Rattus norvegicus: one gene and its partner. The protein of the gene in region 2 purifies or fractionates together with the protein of the main gene of each other region. This does not show direct contact. Links are inferred from orthologs where the notes say so. Each region holds a gene or a part of one and is shown on either strand. Other genes may lie near its edges.

The links.
Region 1: the proteins of Rab1a (region 2) and Gdi1 purify together in Homo sapiens (affinity purification with mass spectrometry; 7 studies listed by BioGRID and IntAct, counting the BioPlex papers as one, with this or other methods). This does not show direct contact. The link is inferred for Rattus norvegicus from reciprocal best matches to the Homo sapiens genes RAB1A and GDI1.

Annotation. Positions count from the first base shown.
Region 1 is NC_086039.1:157,232,638-157,244,755, reverse strand, and holds the start of Gdi1 (rab GDP dissociation inhibitor alpha), read right to left. Parts: upstream 5,857-12,118; 5' UTR 5,733-5,856; coding exon 5,688-5,732; intron 4,520-5,687; coding exon 4,412-4,519; intron 4,253-4,411; coding exon 4,153-4,252; intron 4,016-4,152; coding exon 3,881-4,015; intron 3,470-3,880; coding exon 3,271-3,469; intron 3,017-3,270; coding exon 2,885-3,016; intron 1,928-2,884; coding exon 1,828-1,927; intron 1,021-1,827; coding exon 849-1,020; intron 573-848; coding exon 428-572; intron 326-427; coding exon 271-325; intron 177-270; coding exon 24-176; 3' UTR 1-23. Other genes in the region: Atp6ap1 (V-type proton ATPase subunit S1 precursor), read right to left, coding at 7,114-7,323, 7,537-7,765, 7,854-7,901, 8,579-8,817, 9,156-9,241, 9,821-9,861, 10,418-10,611, 10,867-10,941. UniProt on the Homo sapiens protein: Regulates the GDP/GTP exchange reaction of most Rab proteins by inhibiting the dissociation of GDP from them, and the subsequent binding of GTP to them. Promotes the dissociation of GDP-bound Rab proteins from the membrane and inhibits their activation.
Region 2 is NC_086032.1:98,618,422-98,630,717, reverse strand, and holds the start of Rab1a (ras-related protein Rab-1A), read right to left. Parts: upstream 7,042-12,296; 5' UTR 6,865-7,041; coding exon 6,842-6,864; intron 1-6,841. UniProt on the Homo sapiens protein: The small GTPases Rab are key regulators of intracellular membrane trafficking, from the formation of transport vesicles to their fusion with membranes.

The DNA of each region.
Region 1 (12,118 bases), on a different chromosome or scaffold from region 2:
GGCTGGAGGAGGGGAGTCAGCAATCACTGATCGGCTTCTCCAAAGACATCATTCTGTTTGCGCTTCATGTTCTCAAAATCAAAGGCAGAACCAGCCATGCGTTTGTAGATATCTTTGATGTCATTGCAGGTTGTCTCAAAGTGTGTGGTAGCATCATAGGAGCAGGAACAGAACACCTGTAAATAGGCAGAACCCCAGGATTCACAGAAGTCAGGCAGAGGATCTTGGGTAGACAGCAAGAACCAGGACTGACAGGGACAGCCTTTTTACCTGACTCTCTGAACCGTCATCAATGGGCTCATATAAATCACTGATAGCCACAAACCTGAGGGGTAAATGGAAGAAAAGAAGAAGGGAAAAGTCTTATAATGGGACTTGCCCATTCCTAGTCCCCAGCCTCCCCATCAAGTTTGGCTCAGCCTCTCACTTTTGGTCAATAGGTTCCAACAGCTCCAATGCAGGCTCAACCTCCTTTTCTGGTTCTGCAGTCTCTACGGTGGTGCTGGCAATGGCGATGTATTTGCCTTGTGCGGCCACGTTGTGTGCATAGGAGATCATGCACACATAGATGTCTGACCACAGGAAGCCACTTGGTTAACATGTACCAGAGGAAATAGCCACACAAAAAGGTAGTTCCTACAGGCTAGACAGATATCTGGACCACAAGCCCCTTGCCCTCAACCAAACATGTAAACAGCATCCAAACTGTCATTCTCATGAAGAAAGTAAGTGCCCTGGCCATCCAATCCCCAGATATATTCTGTAACAAAATGTCACAAGAATCCCCAAGATTTCTTGTGAGAAGAGAGGCATAACAACAGAAGGGAGTCCCTTACAGCCTGGCCTACCTGACTTCCTGTTGACCTGATTCTGAGGGATGATAATTTGGCAGGAATTGGCATCATTGGTATTCTTGATGGGGTGGCTGAGGATGCAGATGATGCGAATAACCTGGCCAGCCTTTCGCACACGGTCTGGGATGTAGCTGGGATCACAGATCAGCTGCTTGCAGCGGGCCACCTGTGAAGGTAGCAGAAGATTTTGCACCTGTTGGATGATTCCCTTGTCCCAGGTAGTGTTAAGCTGAGCCAAAAGTAAAGCCAGACAGCTCTGAGCTGTCATCACTGTCCCTCCTGTATGTAGTACATAACCCTTTCCTTGAAGCTCAGAGAGATCAGTCCTCACATACAGGGCTAGATAACCCTATTGCTGAAACACAATGATCACAAAAACTTTTTTTTCTGTTGCCAGAAAAAAAAGTTTTTTATTTGAGAGTGTTTGGCCCAAAACTCAGCACCCAAGGCTGAAGGATAGTTGGGGGTTGAGGGATAGGCATACTATCTCAGTTGGTAGAGTGCTTGCCTATCATGCATAAAGCCCCGGGTTAGATTCCCAGCAATGCATAAACCAGGTATCTTGACACACACCTGTAATTCGGCATCAAGAAGGTGGAAGCACAAGGATTGAAAGTTCATCTTCAGTTATATACACTATTTGAGGCCAGCCTGGGATACAGGACACCCTTTCCAAAAGAATACATTCAGGAATACAAAGTATGTGACTTCTGAAGGATACCTCTTGATTAATTTAGATCCATCTGCCTTGGCCTCCCAAGTACTAGGAATACAGTTGTGTGCCACTACACCTTGTAGTTTGAAGGATATTTCTTGCCAACAGGAATAACTATGTAGAGTTTTATTGACCACCCAGGCTTTAGCTATAAGGTTCTCAGGGTTAAGAAGTAATAAGGTTCCCTAAGAACATAGCTCTGAAAAAGACCAAATCTTACCCAAACCATGGTAATACAAATGCACAGGGCAGGCTTACCTCTCCCTCAGATTTTACACCCACCACCTTGCCATTTTCCATGATGATGTCATCCACTGGTTTGTTCAGCATGTATGTTCCCCCATAGATGGCACTCAATCTGTAGTAAGAAAAATGATGGGGAAGTCTTCTCAGAAATGTGGGGACCAATTCTACTGTACCCTCCTCACCCCACCAGTGGGGTAGAGAACACAGGTATACAGAGTTTAACTCCAACTGTTTCAGGTGTCCCTCCCATAAACTTAGGGCCCATACTGACATATTCCTTCCTCTCTGGTGTTTCTGTACATATTGTTCTGCAAAGGGTCAACAGAAGGTAGCATGAAGAAGTAGCTCCACATAGAAACAGCCCAGGAGGGGTTGGGGATTAGGCTCAGTGGTAGAGCGCTTGCCTAGGAAGCGCAAGGCCCTGGGTTCGGTCCCCAGCCCCGAAAAAAAAAACAAAAACAAAAAAACAAAACAAAACAAAACAAAAACAAACCAAGAAACAGCCTAGGAGTCAAGAATAAAGAACTCTCTGTAAGAGATTCAAACTCCAGGGAAGCCCAGACACAAGGTTCCGGGGTCCTAGACTTAGTCCTGGTACTACCAAGAGCTGGGGGAAGCTATGTTCATGGTGACCTACTTCTTTACTTTGTATTTCCACCTACTTTTAAAATTATATATATATATACACACACACACATACACACATGTGTGTGTTTTGTTTACGTGTATATCTGTACACCACATGCATGCCTGGTGCTTATGAAGGCCAGATGAAGGTTATGAATTCCCTAAAACTGGAATTATAGATGGTTGTGAACTACCATGTATATTGGTATTGGAATTGAACCCGGGTCCTTGGTGTAAACAAGTGCTCTTATCTGCTGAGCCATCTCTCCAACCTCTACTCTGCACTTTAATGCACTAGGGCTATGCCCCCATTACCCAGGGATACAGTAATATACATGAAAATTAGATGGGAAAGTAGGAGATGCCACAAAAATATTCAAGGTAATTTCCATTCTTGGCCTTGTCTTACCAGTAATGCTAGCTGAAAAAGACAGATCCTCACCTGGCAAAGCCCTGAGGCAGCTCACCCAGGCCATAGAGTGGGTACAAATATGGGCTCTTGCCATACCGGGCCAGGGACTCACTGTACAACTTGATGCGGTTAATAGTCTCAAGACATGGCTGATCCAGGTAACTACGGAAAAAGAACCAGGGAATATGCTTTGATAGCAGCACCCTTGTTCATTTACAAAGACACCAGCCAGCCTTCCCACCACCCTTTGTGACCTGGCAAAGATGTGGGTCAAATGGAGAGGGATGGAAATGGAACAGGTGAGCCTGGAGCTGAGTACAAGTGACATGCAGGATGGGCAGTAGGTACAATAGGCAGGTGTGGAGAGGGTGTGAGCCAGACAAGGGGCTCCCATCACCAGCCAGCTTTCCCCTCACTCATCAGTGCGGTAGAGCGCCAGGGCATGGCCAGTGAAATCAATGACATCTTGGCCCAGGTCAAACTTCCGGTAGACATCACGCATGCTGGTGGTCTGCGGGTCAACACCCTCAAAGGTTTTGGGGTCATTCTCATCAAAGTTTGCCACAAACACCAAAAATTTTCGGAAGCGTCGTTTTTCAAACATGCCCATCAGATCTGAAAGAAAGGTATTGAAAAGATCATTTGCATTACTCGGACATAGAGCTCCTCTTTCTAACAGAGCAGGCCAGGAAAATTGGTGCCTTGGCTCCCACCAGAACTCTCTTATGCAACACTGCTCCACCTTTCTTGGTCTCAATTTTCCTATTTGTAGGAAGAGACCCTCCCAGCTCCACTTAGGGCAAGTAGGCCCTTTGACAAAAAAGAATCCTCTTCTGTGAACTTCCTTTCTGGCAACTTGCCAAGATTGGTAGCACTGTCCAATAAAGAAACTATAAAGCAAGGGGCCTCTAGGACTACACGGAGCTAAGATTAGGTTTATGCAAAGAGGAGCCTTTTGCCCAACTGTCCTGAAAACAGTTTGTCCCCTCCAGCCCCATTCTTCTGCTTAAGGAGACTCATACTCACTAGAAGCCAAGGCCTCAGTCTCAGTAGATGGCACTTTGTAGATCTTGCCCCCTTTGTATACAAAGCTGCCCTCTACCACCTTGAAGTCCAGATAACGAGTCACTTCTGTATACAGTAGCATCTTTACCAGCTGACCTGTGTCCAAAGGGAGTAAGGGTGTGTTTTCCTTCAAAAAACTCTCAGTAGTGTGACTGATCATATTCTGGAGATTGAACACCCCATACCCCATCTTCCTACTCACCACCCCCATCGCCCTTTTTAATCTCCCTCACCATTGGCCATGAGGAATTTGGGGATCAAGTCAACATTCCAGTCTCGGCCCCGGCCCATTGATTCAGGGGGCCCTTCCAGCAACTGAAAGCGCTTATATAGCTGTAAGCAGGACAGGAAAGAAAGACAAATGTCAAGGACTAGCTTCCCTTCCCCACTCTCCTGCCTGGGACCTGAGAACTACTTCCCCCCTTTACACCTATGTGGGGGACTAACAAGGGGTCTGGGTCTAAGCCCAAGTCTGAGAATAAGAAATCTTACCTCCTCAAGGGGTGTGATAGAAGAGCTCTCACCCCCATAGTAGGGGTTTCGGTCCATGTGCAACACCTTCTTTCCATTCACAGACATGATGCCAGACAGGATGCATTCCTGGGGAAAGAGTGGCATTGGCAGCTATACCTCATCTACCCTCCAATGAGCATCTCTGATTTGTCCCTGCCTCATGCCCACTACAAAATTCATAATGCAAAGTCCTACCTCTTTCCAGTGCCTAAAACTGGGGAGGGGAAGATAGCTTCATATGATGTTTCCTTTATAACCCTGCTGAGTAAACTACTAGAGCATTAAAGGAGGCTTGGGGGACAGAGCTTACAGTTCTTCTAGCATCAACAAGCCAAAAGTATCTACCTGCTCTGAGCTCACAAAAAGACAAGACAATGAGTCTACAGAAGAAACAATTCAAAGGCTCTTTGAAAGATAAGGCCAAGTCCTTGAAATCCCAGGCTCCACCCTGCTCCTCCTTTTAAGGGCAGGAGCCCCTGACTCTCTTCTGGCTGTGCATCCACTGCTCTAGGCTCAGGGTTCAAACGAAAAAAGATTTGTGCGGGGGGGGGGGGGGGCGACGGGGACACCGGACACTCTCACCAGTCACTGTCACTAACCCAAGGACAAAGGCTGAGGATATATATTCACTCTGAGGTCTCCATGGGAAACCGAATTGGGGTAGAGGGAAAGCGGTCACTAACACCCCCTCCCTACACACCACACACACACACACACACACACACACACACACACACACACTCCCTCCCTCCCTCCCTCCCGCTGTTTCTGGAACATTCCATGGGTTCCCTATCCCTCCCAAAAGGCAGAGAGGCAGGATGAGGGCCCACCCTTGAAAAGCCCCCATATCTTTATCTTCATACTCCATGCCCTAGTGTGATCACAAGATGGTAAAAGATGCTAATCAATTACTTGAGCAGGTGATGAGTGCAGGCGAAGGGTGGGGTTGGATGCAACGGGTCCAGTGTGTGTGAGGGGGGTGAGTTTTCCACCTCAGTGACACAGATAGGGAAGGTGAGGGGTCCGTGGTTAAGATCTAGGGTGCTGGAATACTGGCCAAAGTGGGGCCCTCTACGAAGAATTGCGAACTGGCATCAACACTCTAGGATGAGGTAGTGGGGTGGGCATGGGCTTTTCCAGGGCTGGAGGCAGGAACGCAATGATGGGAGGATGGGTCGGGTAACCCGGACTCTGCATCACTGCGGGGTGGGGGATGGCATGATGCAGGGCTACGAGCGCCTGAGGTGGCACTTACGGTAAGACCTGTCCCCAGCACAATCACATCGTATTCCTCATCCATGGTCAGGCCTTGGTACCAGCGCCCGCTCTTCTTCTCCTCCTCCTCCTTCACCACAGCAGCTGCTACCAATGCCTCTACTGTTGCTGTTGCTGCTGCTGCTGCTGCTGCTGCCGCTGCCGCTGCCGCCGCACTGACCCAAAGATGGCGTCTATCGGTCGTCTCCCGATCCCTACGCAGCGTCAATGAGTCCCTCTCCCTCCTCTGGCCAAGCCACGCCCAACCAAAGCCACCATTTCCTCGCTTGTTTTCTAGGAGGGGTTCTGGCACCTGGGTCCCAGCACCAGAATGATTGCAGGGGTTAACGCGGCTCTCCGTGAGCCCAGAGAAATACGGGGCGGGGCAGGCCGGCGGCAGGTGCTACGTCTAGCGAAGGATCCTTGCGCGGGAGCTGCGCGCGCCCCGCCCCGCCCCGCGCGCTCCCGTACCGCCCCTGGGAGAAACAGAAAGGCATGGAAGCCCTGCAGTGTGTTGTTGCAGCTGGCCCTAGCGCTGGGAGAGCTGCCATTGTCAGGATTCCTCCCATGGCGAGGAAAAGTAACAAGCCTCTTCTCCGGCTTGTTAAGAGTATCGGCTTACTGAAGACCCTCCCACCCTTCCTCTCTCATTTCTTGCCTGACAGGACTACATCTGAGCAGTTCTTCCCTTCAGTCAAGAACAAATCTACTTGTCCAGTGTAGAAATAAGTGGCTGGAGCCCAACACATGGCAACACGTCTTTATTTTATTAGGAATGAAACAACAGAGCACACCCCCCCCACACACACACACACATACTTCTGGCTTCTTGACAGGCAATCCTTGTGAGAACAAACCAGAAACCCAATGAGTACACTTTGTTCTCCAGTTCTCGTGGTGATTTCTTCCTTCTCAGGTCACAGAAATAAACCCCAGTGTACCGCTCATTCTTAACCCCCACCCGCCAAAAAAAAAAAAAAACCCATAAAGGCTAAGCTGGACAGTTAACTAGCCTTTCCACACCTCTCAAATTCAAGGGACCTCAAGTTCATGGCTATTGCTGGAAAGCTCCATAAAGCTTGGGGAGTGAGTATTTACTACACAAAAGCACTATAAACAGCACGAAATAATAGCAGAGGGGCAAGAATAAATAAGGAGAAAGGGAAAGGGGGGCACCCTAGAATTAAGGTCCCTTCCCCTCTTGATGAAGCCTGGAAGATTTATCTATGAAGAATAATACACTTTGTTGGTAGAAGTGGGGGATAGCCTCAGGGAAGTCCCTGTCCAGGAAAGAGGAAGCAAGACAGGCTGAGGGTGGTGTATGTAGGGTTCATGCTATAGTAGGAAGAGGACAAACCTTTCCATCCACTGTGTCACAAAATGGAAACCTAGACACCAATACTCCCTCAATCCCTCTCTGGTATATGTCACACAATCTGGGTCAAAGTGATGGTGGGGCCCTTGTGGTCATCAAAGCGATCCATGGTCTTTAGGCTGAGTATCATGTGCAGACCATAGGTGAATATGAAAAGCATGAAGAGGGTGGTGAGCAGCCCCATCCAGATGCCCGGAGAGAAGAAGCCAGCACAGTCGCTAGCATAGGAGAACTGTTCACCAGTCACATTGAAGGCTTGGATCTAGGAGATACATAGACATGGATCAGATGGGACCACAAGGTTCTACAAACAGTTCAGTGCTGGGATTCTGGAATTAATGAATAGTTATACCTTCAGAGACTATACAAGGATGGAACTCTCTCGGCTACATGCTCAAACCATGCAGAGATTCTCTGGGCCCTTTTTCCCGCCCCTTATTGCCACCAGCTTGGGGGCCCATCACCCTTTCAATACCTGGAAGTTATGAAGAGTCATCTGCCAGAGGGAGGGCACGTTGGTCACAAGGAGACTGCCTTTCTTGCTCAGACTGCTGACGTACTCACAGTGGAAAGAATAGATACTAGGTCCTGTGACTTGGGAAACATTGAAATGGGCAACCGAGCCATTGCTGTGGATTTCAAGTCGTTCCATGGTAAACCAATATCGGGCAGATACTGGGTAGAAGCGACTAGCCAGAATGAACCTGGGAGGTGGGGGTTGCAGAGATGTCAGATGAACAAAATAGAGTGAAGACATACCAGCCCAGCCAAACTTCAGCCAACAGAACTTACTTGAATGTCACTGTTGCACCAAAGAGTGGTTCATAGGTCAGTGAAAGCCTATGGGACAAGGCACAGGAGTACTGTCAGGCTCTAGAAGAACCTTAAGAAGATCCTGATCAGGTTGGCTCCAACCTAAGCAACCCTAGATCCATCCTTATAGCCAGCCAGCTGTCAATACAGTGTCCCCATTTACCATATGGGAAAACTAAGGCTCCAGTCATAACCAAATTAGGAGCAGCTGGAGCACAATTAGGTCTTACATCTCCAGCTTAGGATTCCTTACTCTGGTTTTCCTGAGTCCTGTAGGCCTCCTTCTTGGGATCATTTAGCTGCCAGCTGAGATTTCAAGGGTAGAAGACCTAGAACTGGTTTTAACAGTTGGTCTGGTATTTGCCTACATGCAGTCCAAGGGGTTGGGTTCAAAGAAGGGCCAGGGTCCCAAAGGATTGTGTGGTGTTCAGGACCCAACAACCAAGACATAAAAGCATGAGAAAGCCAAACTCCTAAGAGGATCCCTCTCCAGTAACATCCCAGCAACATCACCTGGGATACTGTGATATCCATCTCCTTGGTGAACACACCACACAAAGACCTTTCTCACCCCAAACATATATACCTATATACCTACACACACACACACACACACACACACATCCATCCCACATCCTTGTCCTGTACTGGGCTCACAGTAGCAGGAAAACCATATATGACAGGATAACCTTTTTTTCCCTTACATGGCAAAGGAGTCATTCCAGAAGGAGCCGGTCAAGTTAAGATTCTCCACACCAAAGGTGAGGGAGGTCAAGTCTTTCCATTCGTCTTTGTATGCCACAGAGAAGTTTTGTGCCCAAAACAGGATCCTTGGGGCAGTGTCATTGTAACTCACAGGAGGATGGATCGCAGGTGATGCCACCTGAGTCTGAAGCAGCTGGCGACCTAGACCCCCAGCCACCATGGCTACATCACGGGCCACCTGCAGAAACATTCAACAAGCCTTCTCTCAACAGCCCTAAAAACAAAACCTAATCCACTGGATTGGTATTCCTTCCACACTGGGTACCCTGTATACCATCTGAAAGTCCCTAGCCCTGATATTCCATCTCCCTAAACTAATAATCACACTGTCCAAGTGGCATAAACAAATTGGAAAAAAGACACTATGGATGGAGGAAGCAATCCTCTGTCCATTAATCCCCCAAACTGGAGGCTCCTGAGAGATCCTGTCTATGGCATACCCCTCCATCGCCAGTCACACTCACCACAATGCCTCTCACCCCTATCCCCCAGGGCCACCACTAGAAGAATACATACTCTAGAAGGGCGGACTGCAGTAAGAGCCGCGGTGTAAGGAACATCTTCAGACTCAAGTGTGCTCAGTACCTGTCCGATGACCTCATCTGAAGAGTGACAAGAGAACAGAGAGCCAAGTCATTGGGTAGCTTGCTTAAAGAAATACTACCCATTGTCTGCTTCAGAGACCTTCTAGACTATGAGAATTCAGTGATGTTAGTTTCCACTGAGGACCTCTAAAACAGCTATTTCTCCTTCTACACACTCTGCCAGTCTCTCTGGAGACAACTATGGTCTCTGTCATTGGCTCTCTGATGGCAAACTTAACCTAAGTAAAACAAAACTTATAGTAATATAGAGAACTCCATATCTAACTCCCTTTCCATGCACATGAACTGTTCTTTACCACAAAGATAAACCCTCCTAATTGTTTTTGCATGTTACTTGTCTATTAAATACAGAGAGACTCATTAGACTTGTGCAAAAACTAGATTTTGGGGCTCTTGCACAGGGGATCATAAGGTACTTGGACACCTCTGTCAGGTGGTGCTGGCTATAGAAGAACATATATGCAAGCAGTCAACCACTCTGAGAAACAGGAGGGCATCCTTGCAGTGAGGAGAAACCAGCTGTTTTCCTGGCCCAAGGGCAAAATGGGGACACAAATCATCCAGTAACATACTTACCATTACCTGTAAGGACCTCCCTGGGCGCCATCAGACCGGAGCTATGGATAAAAAAAGTGAGAGGCCCACAGGTTGCTCTGTTCTCAAATACAAACAGCTTGCCTGGAACAGTTCTCTGAAACTCACTACTTTTTTCTTAGCCCTTCCAGCATCTCCCTTCCCAGTAGTCCCACTTACTAAGCCTGTGGCCTTCACCTGTTGCTCTGACAGTTACGCAGAGGCTTAGCTCAACAGCAGCTATCCCCACCTCCGCAGCTCTATTTGCTTCAGTACCCCTGCCTGGAATCCCATTCCCTTTTCTGGTCTTTGTAAGTATGTCCACAGTCCTATAAAGTGGGCATTGTTGGTGAAGAAGTTTTCTCTAAGTAGGAACAATGTCAGTCTCATCTCTGGAGGCCCAATAGACCTAACTCAGTGGTGGATACTTTTAAGTCACAACCTCTTCTTGGCATACAAGGAACTTGCTGTAAGAGTCTTAAGGTGGTGAATAGGGATACTGTCACCTTTGACTGAACTCTGCCACCAACAGAGCTCAGGATCTTACCCCTATCTGAGGTGCAAGGCTAGGGGCTGGAGGCCTTGCCACCTAGGCTGTACCTGGCTGTGTAGGGCAGACGGATGAGCAGCAGGGCAGGAAGGCTGGCATTGAGCTTCAGCTCCTTTAGGGTAGCTAGATCCACATGCAAGGGACTAGCCCCAAGCTTCTCCTGTAGGTAGGTGGTCAGAGTGCTGATTGCATACCAGTCCACAGCAGGAAGTACCAGTGAGGAGGGGGCCAAGTCCAGGGCATTCTGATGGTAAGGAAGACGTGGAAGGCAAAGTGAGCCAGGGATCAGTGGACCTTATAATAATCTCTTAAAGCCTCACCTGGAAAGCCACACCCCATAGGGATTAGATTTCACAACAGGTCAGAAAGTAAATGTCCCACATCTCCAGGCCTAGACAGTCACATCCCAAGCCCTCTACCCTCAAAGCCTCTGGCCCTCTCTCTGGGAGAGAGAGCACAGAATGTATTATCTTTCCTTTGGCTGTGAGTAGACCCTTACCTCCAGGTTAGAAAAGGCACTGTCCTGTTTATTTCCAAACACACCACCGTATGCTGTGAAATCCTCAATGCTTAGCTAAAAGGGAAGCAGAAGAGATGTCTTAGGAGGCTACACAAAGAACAAGGGGCCAGAACATGAAGGGGCGAATTCTCAGGGATAACAAAAGAGTGAACCATCAGGACTTGTGGTGTGAGTGAGTGGAAGACTTATTCTTTCTCCCCAGCACTCTGATGGCATGACGACAAGATATAGAAAGTAGCCATAGGGTTGGGAGATTTATGGACAGCTAGTTTTGATAACCTACAAAACAAGGGTCAGACAGCAAGAAGAGCTGGGGAGGAAGAGGGAAGTTAGAGAAGAGGAAGAGGACAACAAAGGATATTTACTGCATGTCTCCTAAGAGGGAAGTAGAAGGCAGAGCCAATGAACTTCTATACAGTCTGGGCAGGATCCTTTTCAAAGGAAGAAGTCCTTGCCCTACCATTGTTGGTGGGAGTTAGGAGAGAGGAAGATATTGGAACACAATGGAGGAAGCAGACTTCTGATCTCTCAGGACCTTGGTAATGCCAATCTCATGCCCTTCTCTCTACTGTCTAAAAGTGTTTTATTCCTCCTTCCCTCAACCCCCAGCTAGCTTCCTCTGGCTTCTCCCAGTTAGGCCCAGAGGCAGTCTTAACCAGCTTCCCTAAACTCATTGTGTTTAGTATACATAATCCCAGCCTCCTTTCCTAGCCTCCTCTTCTAGATTCTGTGCTACGTACGCAAGGCTTTCCTACCTTTAGACCAACCGAAACTCTTGTGGCATTTCCTCCATCTCTATGTGACCTAGCAGATCATCTCCTAACCTTTCAATCACATACTAGGCTCCAGTCACACAAGCACCCCCTAGAACTCAGTAAGAGCACTCCCTTGCCAAGGGCCTTTACATTTTCTCCTGCCAGTAATGCCCATCTTCAAAAGCCATATGATTCCTTCCTGCCAATAAGATGCCAAAGACCCTGCCTAATCTCACTGTCATCTGAAACAGTGTCCTTTATTGTGTTGCCTTAGCCTACTCCTTTCTCTAGACTAACAAGACTGGTATCATACCATGTGCTAACTTAGCTCTTAACCACTTGCCTTCACAAGAATGTCTACTTCCAAACACATAGCAAGCACTCCACCACTGTCAAAAGAAGGAAATGCCCTAAGATTGAGAGAGTGTGGCTAGATGATTTATGTAGATTACTTCTCTCAGACTCCTGATATAGGT
Region 2 (12,296 bases):
GAAAAGCAAGACAGACACAGTATTTAAGAGATCAAAGGCCACCTAGACCCAACTATAGATGTCGTATTCCATGACTGCGGCCATCTCTGCATTTTAAGTTTAGAACTGGAATTTACAATTCTACCTTAGCCTTCTCAGTAGCCTACAATTACAGGCATGGACCACCATGTAAACTTCACAAACCCTCTTGTCAGAACTGTGTACCTAAGACTCCCAAGGTTCCCCTGCCTACTCTAGGAGTACAGGAACATGTCATTAGTCCCTACTCAAAACAGCCTCTCTCTGTTTTTAAATCTCTCTGTTGGAGTCTGGTGGCAGGCATTTAATCTCAAGTTAACTGGAAAGCTAAAACAGGAGTATCACAAGTTCAAGGCCTACCCAGCTACAGAGCGAGTTCAAGGCCAACCTGAACTCCCCTTTTGACCAAGTGTTGAAATACAAAAGAGAAAAGTTCAGTGGCAGAGTATATGCCTAGCATGGAAAACGGTCTAGTAAAGCCCCCAGTCTGAAAGCACGTGTGTCGGGCTGGGCATGCCTCACTGCCTGCACTCTCACAGAGGGCTCAGTTCAAGTCACAGCACCCACAGGAAGTCACCACCACCTCTAACTCCAGCTTCGGCAGATGACACCTTCCTACAGACATGCATGTACCAATACACATGAAATAAAAATAAGGCTTTTTAAAAGTGTGTGTGTGTGTGTGTGTGTGTGTGATAAAAAATTTTCCATGAATTTTAAAGTAGATGTTTATCTAAATGTTATCTGGCTTAAATTTAAAAATTTTAGGGTTGGGGGGATGCATTTGGAGACCATAAATTCAATCAATGTTGGCAACAAAAAGCAGGGTTTTTTCCTTTAAATTATATTCTAGGGGTGCTGAAGAGATAGCCCAGCATTTAAGAGCACTAGATGCAGAATGTTCCAGAGGATCCAGGTTCAATTCCCATAATTCCAATTCCAGGGAATTCAAGTCCCTTTTCTAGCTCTTCTGACACCAGGCATCCATTAGGTGCAGACAAATAAGAAGGAAAAACACCCATAAACATAAATATCAATTTTTAAAAAAAATTAATCATATTATAGTACCAAAGCAGCAATTTCAGCCCCAACTTCTACAGGAAAACAACAGGCAGACCACTCCTTTCTCTTTAAAAGGCAGAGGGAGCAATTTACCAATGTCTCTTACTAAGACACTCCAATGTGAAATTCAGACAGGGTAATAAAAAGTAAGTCACATCTAAAATAGCTCACATAATGGCACTCAGGTTTTGGTTTTCTGTCCTTTCCGACTTTTCTCTGAGACAAATCTGTAGGCCAAGCTGCCCTGGAATCAAGACTGGCTTTAAACTCCTGACTCTCCTGGGTACTGAGATTTGCAGCCTGAACATTTAGTAAAGGTTCCAAAAGCTGCCTGTCTACCTGACAACCACAGACATGATGCTTCGGACACTAAAATCACATTCCTCACAGTAAGGACCCAAATCACCTTTCTTCCAATTGTTCTACAAGGAGGAGGAGAGAATGACAGGGGCCATCTGCCTGGCATGTGCAAGTACTGGATTTGACTACCAGCCACATACACACTCACAAACAAAACAGTAAAAAGCAGTGAAAACTACATGAAAGCCAGGAATGATATTAATACACTGTCAGACAGATAACTGATTAGTCCAATTTTATTATCAAACACTTAAAAGGGAAAGGCACTTAATTGAAACAGCTCTATTTCAGAAAAGCATAAAAGTGTAAAAGACTGCTAACATTTTCAGGAAATCTGGAGTCTCATTTTAAAGTGAAGGAGGAATAGGAAGAAAAGATCACTGTCATTAAACTGCTCTGCCCAACCCCAGAGAAGGTTGCTCACTTTTAATCAGAGCATCTGGGAAATGGGTATTCAGTCATTCCCATCTACACAGTGAGGTTTGGTTTGGTTTAGCTTTTTAAATTCACTATGGGGGCTGGGGATTTAGCTCAGTGGTAGAGCGCTTACCTAGGAAGCGCAAGGCCCTGGGTTCGGTCCCCAGCTCCGAAAAAAAAAGAACCAAAAAAAAAAAAAAAAAAAAAATTCACTATGTAGGCCAGCCTGGCCTCAAACCTCAGGCAATCCTCCTGCTTCAACCTCCCAAGTACTGGAATCATATGATGAGCCACCGTGCCGTGCTACTTTGTCACCTTAACTAATAAACAATCATGAGACTTCAGCTCAATCCTTAGGGCCCACATGAACTTACTCTCACAGACTGTCTTACACACACACACACACACACAGAGTAATAAATATAAATTTTTCAAGCACTGGGATTAAAGTCTTGCGCCACCACCTGGCTCTATTAAAAATTCTTTAAACTTTGGTGGCTTAGGAGATGCTTGTGTGTCTGACAAGCATGGGGACCAGAGTTAGAAAGCATCCACTTCATTTAAAAAACAAAACAAAACAAAACTGGTGTGGTGTCCCATACCTGTTATCATCTCAGCACCAGGGAAGTAGACAAAGGAAGATCCCTGACGCTAGCTGGCTGGCCAACCTAGCCATTTCTGTGAACCCCATATCCCAGTGAGAAACCTTGTCTCAAGAAAATAAATAAACAGGGGCTGGACAAGTGGCTCACTGGTTAAGAACACTGGTTGTCCTTCCAGAAGATCCTAGTGTGGTTCCCAGCAACCACATGCAAGCCCAAACAATCTGTAATTCAGATGACTGCCTCTTCTGACCTCTTGGACACTGCATGTACACAATAAGGGGGAAACACTCAAAAACACAAAATGAAAATAATAAAAGGTAAAAATTAAATGGAAAGCTCCTAAGGAATGAAACCCAAGGTTGGCCTTTGACCACCAAATGCATGCAGGCATTCGTACACATACACCCAACACTCATACATGCTCATACATACAACACTCATACATACATGAGAACACACATGCACACACAAAGCTTAAGGTCTGTGTTAGAGCTCAGCTGTAGGATGCTGGATAGCTTTAACACGCAAAGCTATAGATTCAAATCTCAGCACTCAGCAGGCAGAGACAGAAGATCAGAAGCTGAAGGTCATCCTCAGGTATAAAGTGAGCTTGAGGCCAGGTTGGGATCCTTGATAATTTGTCTCATGATAAAAAATAAATAAAACTTCCCTAGAAGCTAATAGATTATGACAACTACTTCTTGTATGAGGTTAATTAGTATCAAGTCTGTATTTATATCTGTCTATCTCTCTTTTGAGACAAAATCCCTATGTCACCGTTGACAGTCTAGAATTCTCTAATATAGACTGGGGTGGTCTTGAACCTTCAGTGAGCCTCCTGCCCTGCCTCAAGTGCTCAGAGCACAGGCTCCTCCACTCCTGGCTCTGTTTAGCATCTTCAATCAGTGTGTTGGAATAATCACTGCCTGCTTCACTCCCTAGCTCTGAAAATCAAATCTTGGGCCAGCAGCATATCTCAGTGCCTATAGCCATGACTAAAGACAGTTACCACCCCAGAACCTGCATAGTAGCCAGAGAGAACTGATCCTGCAAGCTGCCCTCTGACCTCCACCCATTCACTGTAGCAGTCACGTGCCCCCTCTCCAAACATACAATAAGTGTAAAATGTCAAAGCTGTCTTCCAGATCTCCAGAAAAAAAAAAAAAAAGTTTTGGCCCTTTCCATATACTTTACCACACAGTTCACATCACACTGTCAGTTAAATGCAAGTGCCTCAGACATTACTCTTAGTTAATATATGCTTGCACTTAAAATAGTAATAAAATATCTATCATCACCTCTAATCTTGAGCAAGTTTCATAAATCCTTTCCTCAAACTCCTGGTCAATTTACTACACAGTCTAGAATGCAAATATAAGCCAGATACTGGCATGCTTGAGAACTCAGGAAGAATGACTAAAGCACTGTCCATTCAGGGCACGGTGACTCCTATCTGTAATGTCAGCACTTGGGAGGCAGAAACAGGAAGACTGCTGCAAATACAAAGTCAGCCTCATTTACAAAGGGTGTTTCAGGAGAGCCAGGACGACATCACAAAACACAAAAAGAGTTATTAGCCTTGCTATTTATTAGCCATTCCTCTTCCATTTCCTCCAGAAAAATCTCCCCTGCCTCACTTCTGTGCTAATAACTCTCCTTTTTTAGAGAGCACGTTTTGCTCTCTAAAATTATTTGTTTAGATTATTGGGGGAGGGACACACATGAAAAGAACAACCTGCAGGTGCCAGTTCTCTCCTTCCACCATATAGGTCCCAAGGATGGAACTCATAAAGGTGGCAGATGGCTTCCTCTGCTGAACTACCTTACATGTCTCTTCTAGAACAGTCTTCCAAAACCCAACAGCCAACCAGAACAAGTGACTCTGCCCTAAAGTCACACTGTCCTGACCCATGCTGCACATCTGCATGCTCTATCTCCTAGTATCTGACATGTATAGAACCTATTTTGTATGTTATGTTATGTTACAGGCCCCTTGAGGTTAAGGTTTACACTCCTAAGTCCTAGCTTGCTTTAAAATGATTTATACTGTTTACAACATGATCTGGATAGCTGTCCTTTTTACATACTCATGGACACACTACTACCTTAATAGGTAGTAAAAATGACTGTCTCTTGTACTACTTTATAAAAAGAGAAATAGTCTAAGTAACATCTAACTTTGGTCATTTATAGTTAAATCTCTTACAGTATTTAAAAATATAAGAATGCGGTACATAAAATAAATAAATAAATCTTTTTAAAAGATACATATAACAAGGGCTGGAGAGATCGCTTAGTAGTGAAGAATATTTCTCTTCTTGGAGAAAACTCTAACTCCATTCCCAGCACCCACATCAGCTGGTCACAAGTACTCTAACTCCAGTGCCAGGGGATGTCTCTAACCCAGCAGTCCTCAACCTGTGAGTGGCAACTCCTTTGATGGGGGTCAAAGGACCCTTTCACAGGAGTCACATACCAGATATCCTGCGTTATCAGATATTTACATTATGATTCATAACGATAGCAATATTACCGTTATGAAATAGACATGAAAATGCCATGGGTAGGGGTCACCCCAACATGAATTGTATTGAAGGGTCATAGCATTAGGAAATTTGAGAAGAATAAAAATATTTAAATACATATGTAACAAATATAGGAATCTTCTCAAATAGAAATTAGAAACCTTCCTAACAAATCCATGTTCTTCTCTGTTTCCCTAAAATCTAACTAGGAATCCCAATAACTTTTCATGACATGTCATGGAACCTCATTCCCTAAACTGATTTTGTGCTGGGAGAGGGGCTGCCACCACAGTAAGTGTGTCACCATATGAACTGTTCCCAACTTCTTAAAGAAATACAAAAGCCTGGGTCAACCACAGAGCTCTGTGGATAAAGTGCTTATCTGAGTTCAGTTCCCTGAAGCCACCCACAAAGGGAGAAAGAACAAGCTCCCAAAATCTGTCCCGACCTCTGCCGCAAACAAAGTGGCACCTGTGCACCTGCAATCACATGTGTCACAATAAAAATAAAGTATGTAAAGTTCTACCAAGATACCAAGACTTCTGCTTAACCCAAATGAAAAAGCACATTTCAGTATTAAACCAGCCTTAGAAAACTTGAACTTAGAATGTCTTTTGCAAGAGCCATGTGACACACACATGACAAGTCAGCTGAGCTGATGGATGGACCTTTCCTGGGGACACACTTAGCGGGGACTGACCAAAGCAACAAATAAGCCCAGGTTTTAGGGCAGTATTGATTTCTCTTATTAAAAAAAAAAAACAAAACAAACAAACAAAAAAATCCCTCTCCCTTAAAGATTTCTGACACTAAAGTATAATAAAAATGACATCTCTTCGAGTTATTTTCATATATGGAAGCCAGAGGAGAATTTTAGGGTCAAAGAGAGAGCCCAACAATATCTATCCAAGAAAAGACAAGAGCAGTTCCCATGAAGGTGCCAGGTGTGTCACATCTGCTAGAGTGACTTCTTGAGTAAGCAAGAAAAAGGAATGCATTAACTTTTCATGACACGTCATGGAACCTCATTCCCTATCTACAGGCATTCAACCAGGTAATCTAAAACCTACAGTTCTATCATCAAAGGCCCCATTAGTTTCTTTTCAAAATTGTCTGCAAACTTGTACTTTAATTTGGTGGTGCCAGGAAGACGTTTCTAGTTTATTTTTAGTTCAGTTTTGTTGATGTTGTTAACCTACCGGAAACAAAAGGTGACTGAGAGACTCATGTGTCCCCCTAAAACAAAAATTTCACAAATGTTCAGGATTTTAGAAGGGTCACATCTCACAATTCTTACACAACTCTTCCAGGAGACAAGCCCTAAAGGAAACTAAACATTGTAAATAGCTTCTCGCCATCTCCTCATTCCCCTCAAGCCCACGCAGTCCCAAGAAGCATCCATATTACCAGAAATCCAACCGTGAGAGAGCTCTAACAAGCTCAGGATTTACAAGTAAAGCTGGTTTCCTCCCTGTCGACGCTGACAGCTCCGCAGAGCCGGCGCAGGGTCTGACAGTGCCCTCTAGCAGAACTCTCCCACCTACCTCCCCTTAAAAACAAGTCCTCCTCCAGCCGTCACTGCCTCCAGGGACGCGCCCTTCCTGGCCGCTGTCCGAGGCCCACTCCCCAACGCCCGGCCGCGGCACCTAGCTCCCCGCCGGCTGCGCCCCGGACCCGGCCCGGAGGCCCGACCCCTCCCCGCTGCGGCCCTCGGCCATCAGACAATGGGGCCCTCGGGCTGCTCCGTCTCGTTCGCCTGGTCGACCTTCCGAGTGCTGCGCAGCGAGCCTCCAGGCGGCCCTCACCCCAGCTGGACGCCCTCACCCCGGCCCGCCCCGGCTCTCCTGCACTCACTATTCGGGATTCATGCTGGACATGTCACTGCAGCTGCCGCCGCCGCCACCGCCCTTGCTGACGCAGCCGCCGCCCCAAGCCTCCGCGCCACGGGTAAAGGAAGGGGAGGAATGAGCTAAGCTGTTCCGGTAGAGCAAACGTCGACCCCACTCCGACCCTTAGAACACAATCAGCAGCCGCCGCCACTCAGTGATCGCTTCCACCCAAAATGGCCGCCGGCGAACCAGGAACTGGGGAAGCCTAGGCCAAGGGGCCTGTCGCGGCCCAGAGGGCGGCAGCGTCGCGGGGCACGCTGGGAAAGAGAGTCGTGAGCACTCCGCGCGCTGGGCAGCCTGACGAGGCCGAGGGCAGCCTGCACTCGGCTTCCCACTAGGCCCCACGTCCTCTACGCATGCGCCCTTGCGAGCTTGTCGCCCGCCCCGTCCCGATTCCCTCACCCCCACACCCCGCCCTTCCTGCTCCCCTCCCCGCTGGCCTGCTGGCTAGGACTTCGCTCGGACTCCCCCTAGCGGATTGGCTAAGGTCGAGCGGACTGTGTTGATGTCATCAGTGAGACGTGGCAGCAGGGCGAGTCAGTGCCCCACGGGGAGGGGGAGGAGGAAGGAACCGGGCGGAGGGAGGTGCCGCAGCCGAGGGGGAGGGGGCTCCCAGGAACGCTGGGACGCGAATGAGGCGGGGTGGGGACAACTTGACGAGTTCTGCTCTGGCAAGAACGCAGTGGCCAACCCCATCAGAGTCTGGGGCTGCTCTAAGGACAAAAGGAAAGTCAGGTGGCCTGTGTAGCCTTGGGCTTTCACACTCACCCGACTCCTTTTCTGATTTTTTTTTTTTGTTTTTACCGTTTTACTCTAGCAACTTGATGTTGAAATAGCTGCAAATGGACCCTGCTCCAGTCTCTCTTCTGCCCCCGTCCATTTGCACACGCAATCAGATTTACCTGTCTGAAACTGCTCCTCCATCTAGACCTCCCAACCTTTGAAGGCTCTGCATTGTGCTTTTGAGACTCAGGCTAAAATGAACCTTAACCTAGTCTTTCTACTTGAGGCCTTAAAGTTGAATTGGTTTTTGGGGTTGGGTTGGTTTGTTAAGTTTTGGGGGTTGTTTGTTTGTTTTGCTGTTGGTGCTGCTGCTGTTTGTTTTTTATTAGTTAAATTCTGTGTCCGTCTGTAACATTGGGTAATAATAAGTGTCTTTTTAAGCCAGGAAACTCATTCTGGACTCCAGAACTAATATTAATACATTTTTCAGACCTTAACTTTAATCAGCTCAGGAATTTAAATCTCCACTAAACTTTAACACATTATCTTGGGTTATTTATTCCAAAGGGCATAATATAATACACTGTCCAAAGTTTATCTTCCAACTTGTTCTAAGCAAGAATATTATCTCCAACTGCGGATTTACTTTTAATTTCTGAATTTCAGTGACACAAAAATAAGCAAAAGAGGCTGTTCTCATCTCTAACCATATACTCAGTATATTTTACACATCCCTCTGGACTTCCTCCATGTGACTTGACAGCCTCATCAGACCATACATAGATAGGTTTTGGGGGTTTTGGTTTTTTTTGTTATCGTTGTGGTTTTTGGTATTTTGAGACAGGGTTTCTCTGTGTAGCCCTGGCTGTCCTGGAACTCCCTCTATAGACCAGGCCAGCCTCAAACTCAGAGGTTCACTAGCCTCTGCCTCCTGAGTGCTGGGGCCATCATGCCCATCCTATATGGCTCTTTTCTGTGTTAACTTCTGAAATAACCCTAGACGGATGAATGAAGCACCACACATGTTTAGATATGTCCTCCTATCATTTCACAGAATAAAAACTCCGAAGTGTCCCCAAACTCAATTTTTCAAGCAAAGATCTTGTTGTTATTGTTGTTTTTTTTTTTCTGTGATTTATCATTTAAGCCAGACAGAGTGAAGCAATGCCTTTCATTCCTGCCCTTGGGAGGCAGAGACAGGTGCTTCTCTGTGAGTTTGAGGCCAGCCTGTTCTACATAGTAAGTTCTAGGACAGAGCTACACAGTGAACTTCTGTCTCAATACCCACCCCCAAATCTATCATTTAATTTTAATTTTATGTATATGAATGTCTTGCCTGCCTGCATGTATGTATGTATGTATGTATGTATGTATGTATGTATGTGTTCCATGCATGTGCCTCTTGGCCTCAAAAGCCAGAATAGGGCATTTGATACTCTGAATCTTGAGTTACAGTGTGATAGATGCTGGGAACTGAGCATGGGTCCTCAACAAGAACAAAAAATGTCCTCACCAGATGAGCCATCTCTCCAACCCAAGCTGGGGTTTTAGTGGCGGTATTTTAATATAGGCTTAAGGGCTGGAGAGATGGCTCAGTGGTTAAGAGCACTGACTGCTCTTCCAGAGGTCCTGAGTTCAAATCCCAGCAACCACATGGTGGCTCACAACCATCTGTAATGGGATCTGATGCCCTCTTCTGAAGTCAGCGACAGTGTACCCACATACATGAAATAAATAAATCTTTAATATAGGCTTAAGCATGAAGGTTAAGGAAAGCAGACTCTCAGAAAGAAAGCACTACAGAGTGCACTACCACCATACAGAGAGGCTACCACCAAAACTCCATTTTTTTTATCTGTCTGCCTCCTCAGAGGTAAATTTGCTCAACTTTCTTTCATTAACTATTTAACTTCCCAACAAATCATCTTCTAGTAACCCCCCAAGCCATCATGGCTGTGGATTAGTGAGTGCCAGCTTCCTATATCCTACTGCAACATAGGTGTTATTGATATTAAGGTTCCTTGGGCTGGAGAGATGGCTCAGTGGTCAAGAGCACTGACTCCTCTTCCGGAGGTCCTGAGTTCAAATCCCAGCAACCACATGGTGGCTCACAACCATCTATAACACTAGTTTTATAGTAAAGCACTTTTCCTGGCCTCTAGGTGGTGTACATACATACATACATTCATACAGGTAAAACATTCAAAAAAAGAAATAATAATAATAATAACAATAACAATAACAATAATAATAGTATACTTCCTGCCTTCCCAGACAGGATCTCACTGTGTGGCTCTGGCTGTCCTGCTCCCTGACCACACTGGCCTTGAACTCACAGAGCTCCAGCTGTTTCTGCCTTCCAAGTGTTGGGATCAAGTTCCTGTGCCACTACTCCCAACTCTTAGATGTATCTTAAAATAATCTCTTTCTTCCTCCCTCTCTCCCTCTCCTCCCCCCATTTCTTATGTAGGCATATATATGTGTCTGCCAGCATTACGTGTGACCATGTGTCCCTGTATAAAGGCTAAAGGTCAACCGCACATGCCTTCCTTCCTCTGCCACTCTCCACCTTGCTTTCTGAGACCAGGTCTCTCACTGAACCTGGAGCTCGATCTCCAGTTGGCCATTGAGCTCCTGGATCCTTCCATCTATGCTCCAGCACAAGTGCATAAGATGTGTATCACCGGCTTTCACATGGGACGAAGGGTCCTCCGGTAAAGTGCATATGCAACACTTTACCCACCAAGCCATCTCCCCAACCCCCAAACGTTACCGGTAGGTAACGAATTTTGCTGGTGCGAACTTATTATATTTCATGTTTACCCTTTGGCCAATAGTTCAGATTAAAAACTCAAAGCAGGGGTTGGGGATTTAGCTCAGTGGTAGAGCGCTTGCCTAGGAAGGGCAAGGCCCTGGGTTCGGTCCCCAGCTCCGGGAAAAAAAGAACCAAAAAAAAAAAAAAAAAAAAAAAAAAAAAACTCAAAGCAATCCAAACACTGGTGGCTCTCGTTTGCAACCCTAGCACTGGAAAGGCTGAGACAGGTGCATGGGTGGGAATCTGAGGAGAGTCTGAGCCACACAGTGAGTTCTAACCTAAGCTCATGTGAAACTCACTCAAAGACAGAATTTGCCTACAATCTCAGAATGATTCACTGAAACACTACACGCTCTTCTGACTGCCCTGAGGTTGAGGGAGAGCCTTTCTGGAGGGTGGAGGTCTGATCTGCAGCTGAGCACAGACACAACACGAGTGAAGCTTGGCTTTGAGTCTCAGCATGACAGAGACAGCAGAAAGGCCCTCCTAGGTAGCTCTGCCTTTAAAAGGGAAAAAGGAAAAAAGATTTATATTTATATATGTGTGTATGTGTCTGTGTGTAGGTATTCACACATGTGTGCTGGCACCCAGGGGAGACCAGAAGACAGCATTGCATCCCCTGGAGCTAAAGTTACAGAGGGTCCTTGGATAGAATTCTCATCATCTGCAAGAGCAGCGATTACTGTTAACCCCTGAGCTATCTCTCCAGAGCCGCCTCCTCCTCCTCATTCACATTTATTTATCATTTATTTATTTACCTGTGTGGGTATACAGGGGTGGGGGGTGTACATGTCAGGGCACACACGAGGACAGAAATGTGTGGGTGTACGGAGGTACCTGTCAGGGCACACATGTGAGAAGGGCCGAGACCAAGTCTCAGGGCTTCACTGTCTCAACAGACGGCTTCTGAGATTTAGCTCGGAACACCAGTCCTGGCAGCAAGCACCTTCACCTGCTGATCCTCTCCAGCCCTTCTGGCTGTCCCCCCTTTCCTCTCTCCCTTTTCTCTCTTGTTTCCACTCTTTTTCAGGTGTATATGACCCGGTACATAATAAATGTATGTAGACCTTGATCTGGGTTTGGGGAGAGAAGGAAGGGTAGGTGTGCTTTGCTATTTTGAGATAGGTTCTCATGGAACTCAGGCTGGCCTCAAATTCACTGTGTAGTCGAGGATAGCTTCGAACTCCCCTGAGCTCCGTGTTCTGTGATTTCTAGCATGCCCTACCATGCCCACCCAGCTGTACTTGAAATATATGCTTAAACAATATAAAATTGAATGACTACAACTCTTTGTCTTTAAGGAGATTACCATTCAGTTAGAAAATTCTGAGAATACAGACAAGGCCTCTGGGGAAAAGTACAAAAATACACGTAAAGGATATGGCCTTTAGAGACTGCTAGGCATGAGGAGTGGGAGGAAGGGATCGTCTGAAAAGAGACGCAAAGGATGCATGTCTTTGGTTTGAGGGAAATAGCCTGTATCTTCATTGTAATGACGGCTAGGTATATAACCGTACATACTTGTCAAAACCCAGGTCACTTGGCTTTGAGTCCCAACATCACCAAAAGAACTCACGGTCCTATACATCCAAAAACTATGAATTAGGATCAGCAAGATGGCTCACGGGTAATGGCACTTGCCGTGAAGGCCTGACAACCTGAGTTTGTTCCCCAAACCATCTAAAGGTGGAAAGCAAGATTTGGCCCCTCAGAGTTGACCCCTGACAGGTGTGCTGTGATATGTACATATAGACCACACACCACCACCACTGCAGTAACTAAACGAGATTTGGTTAAAACGTTAAAATCGTAATTTACTTATGTATAAATCGTATGCTCTTGTATAGTACTAACCTCAGAGCACACCAGCAGCCATCTCCAT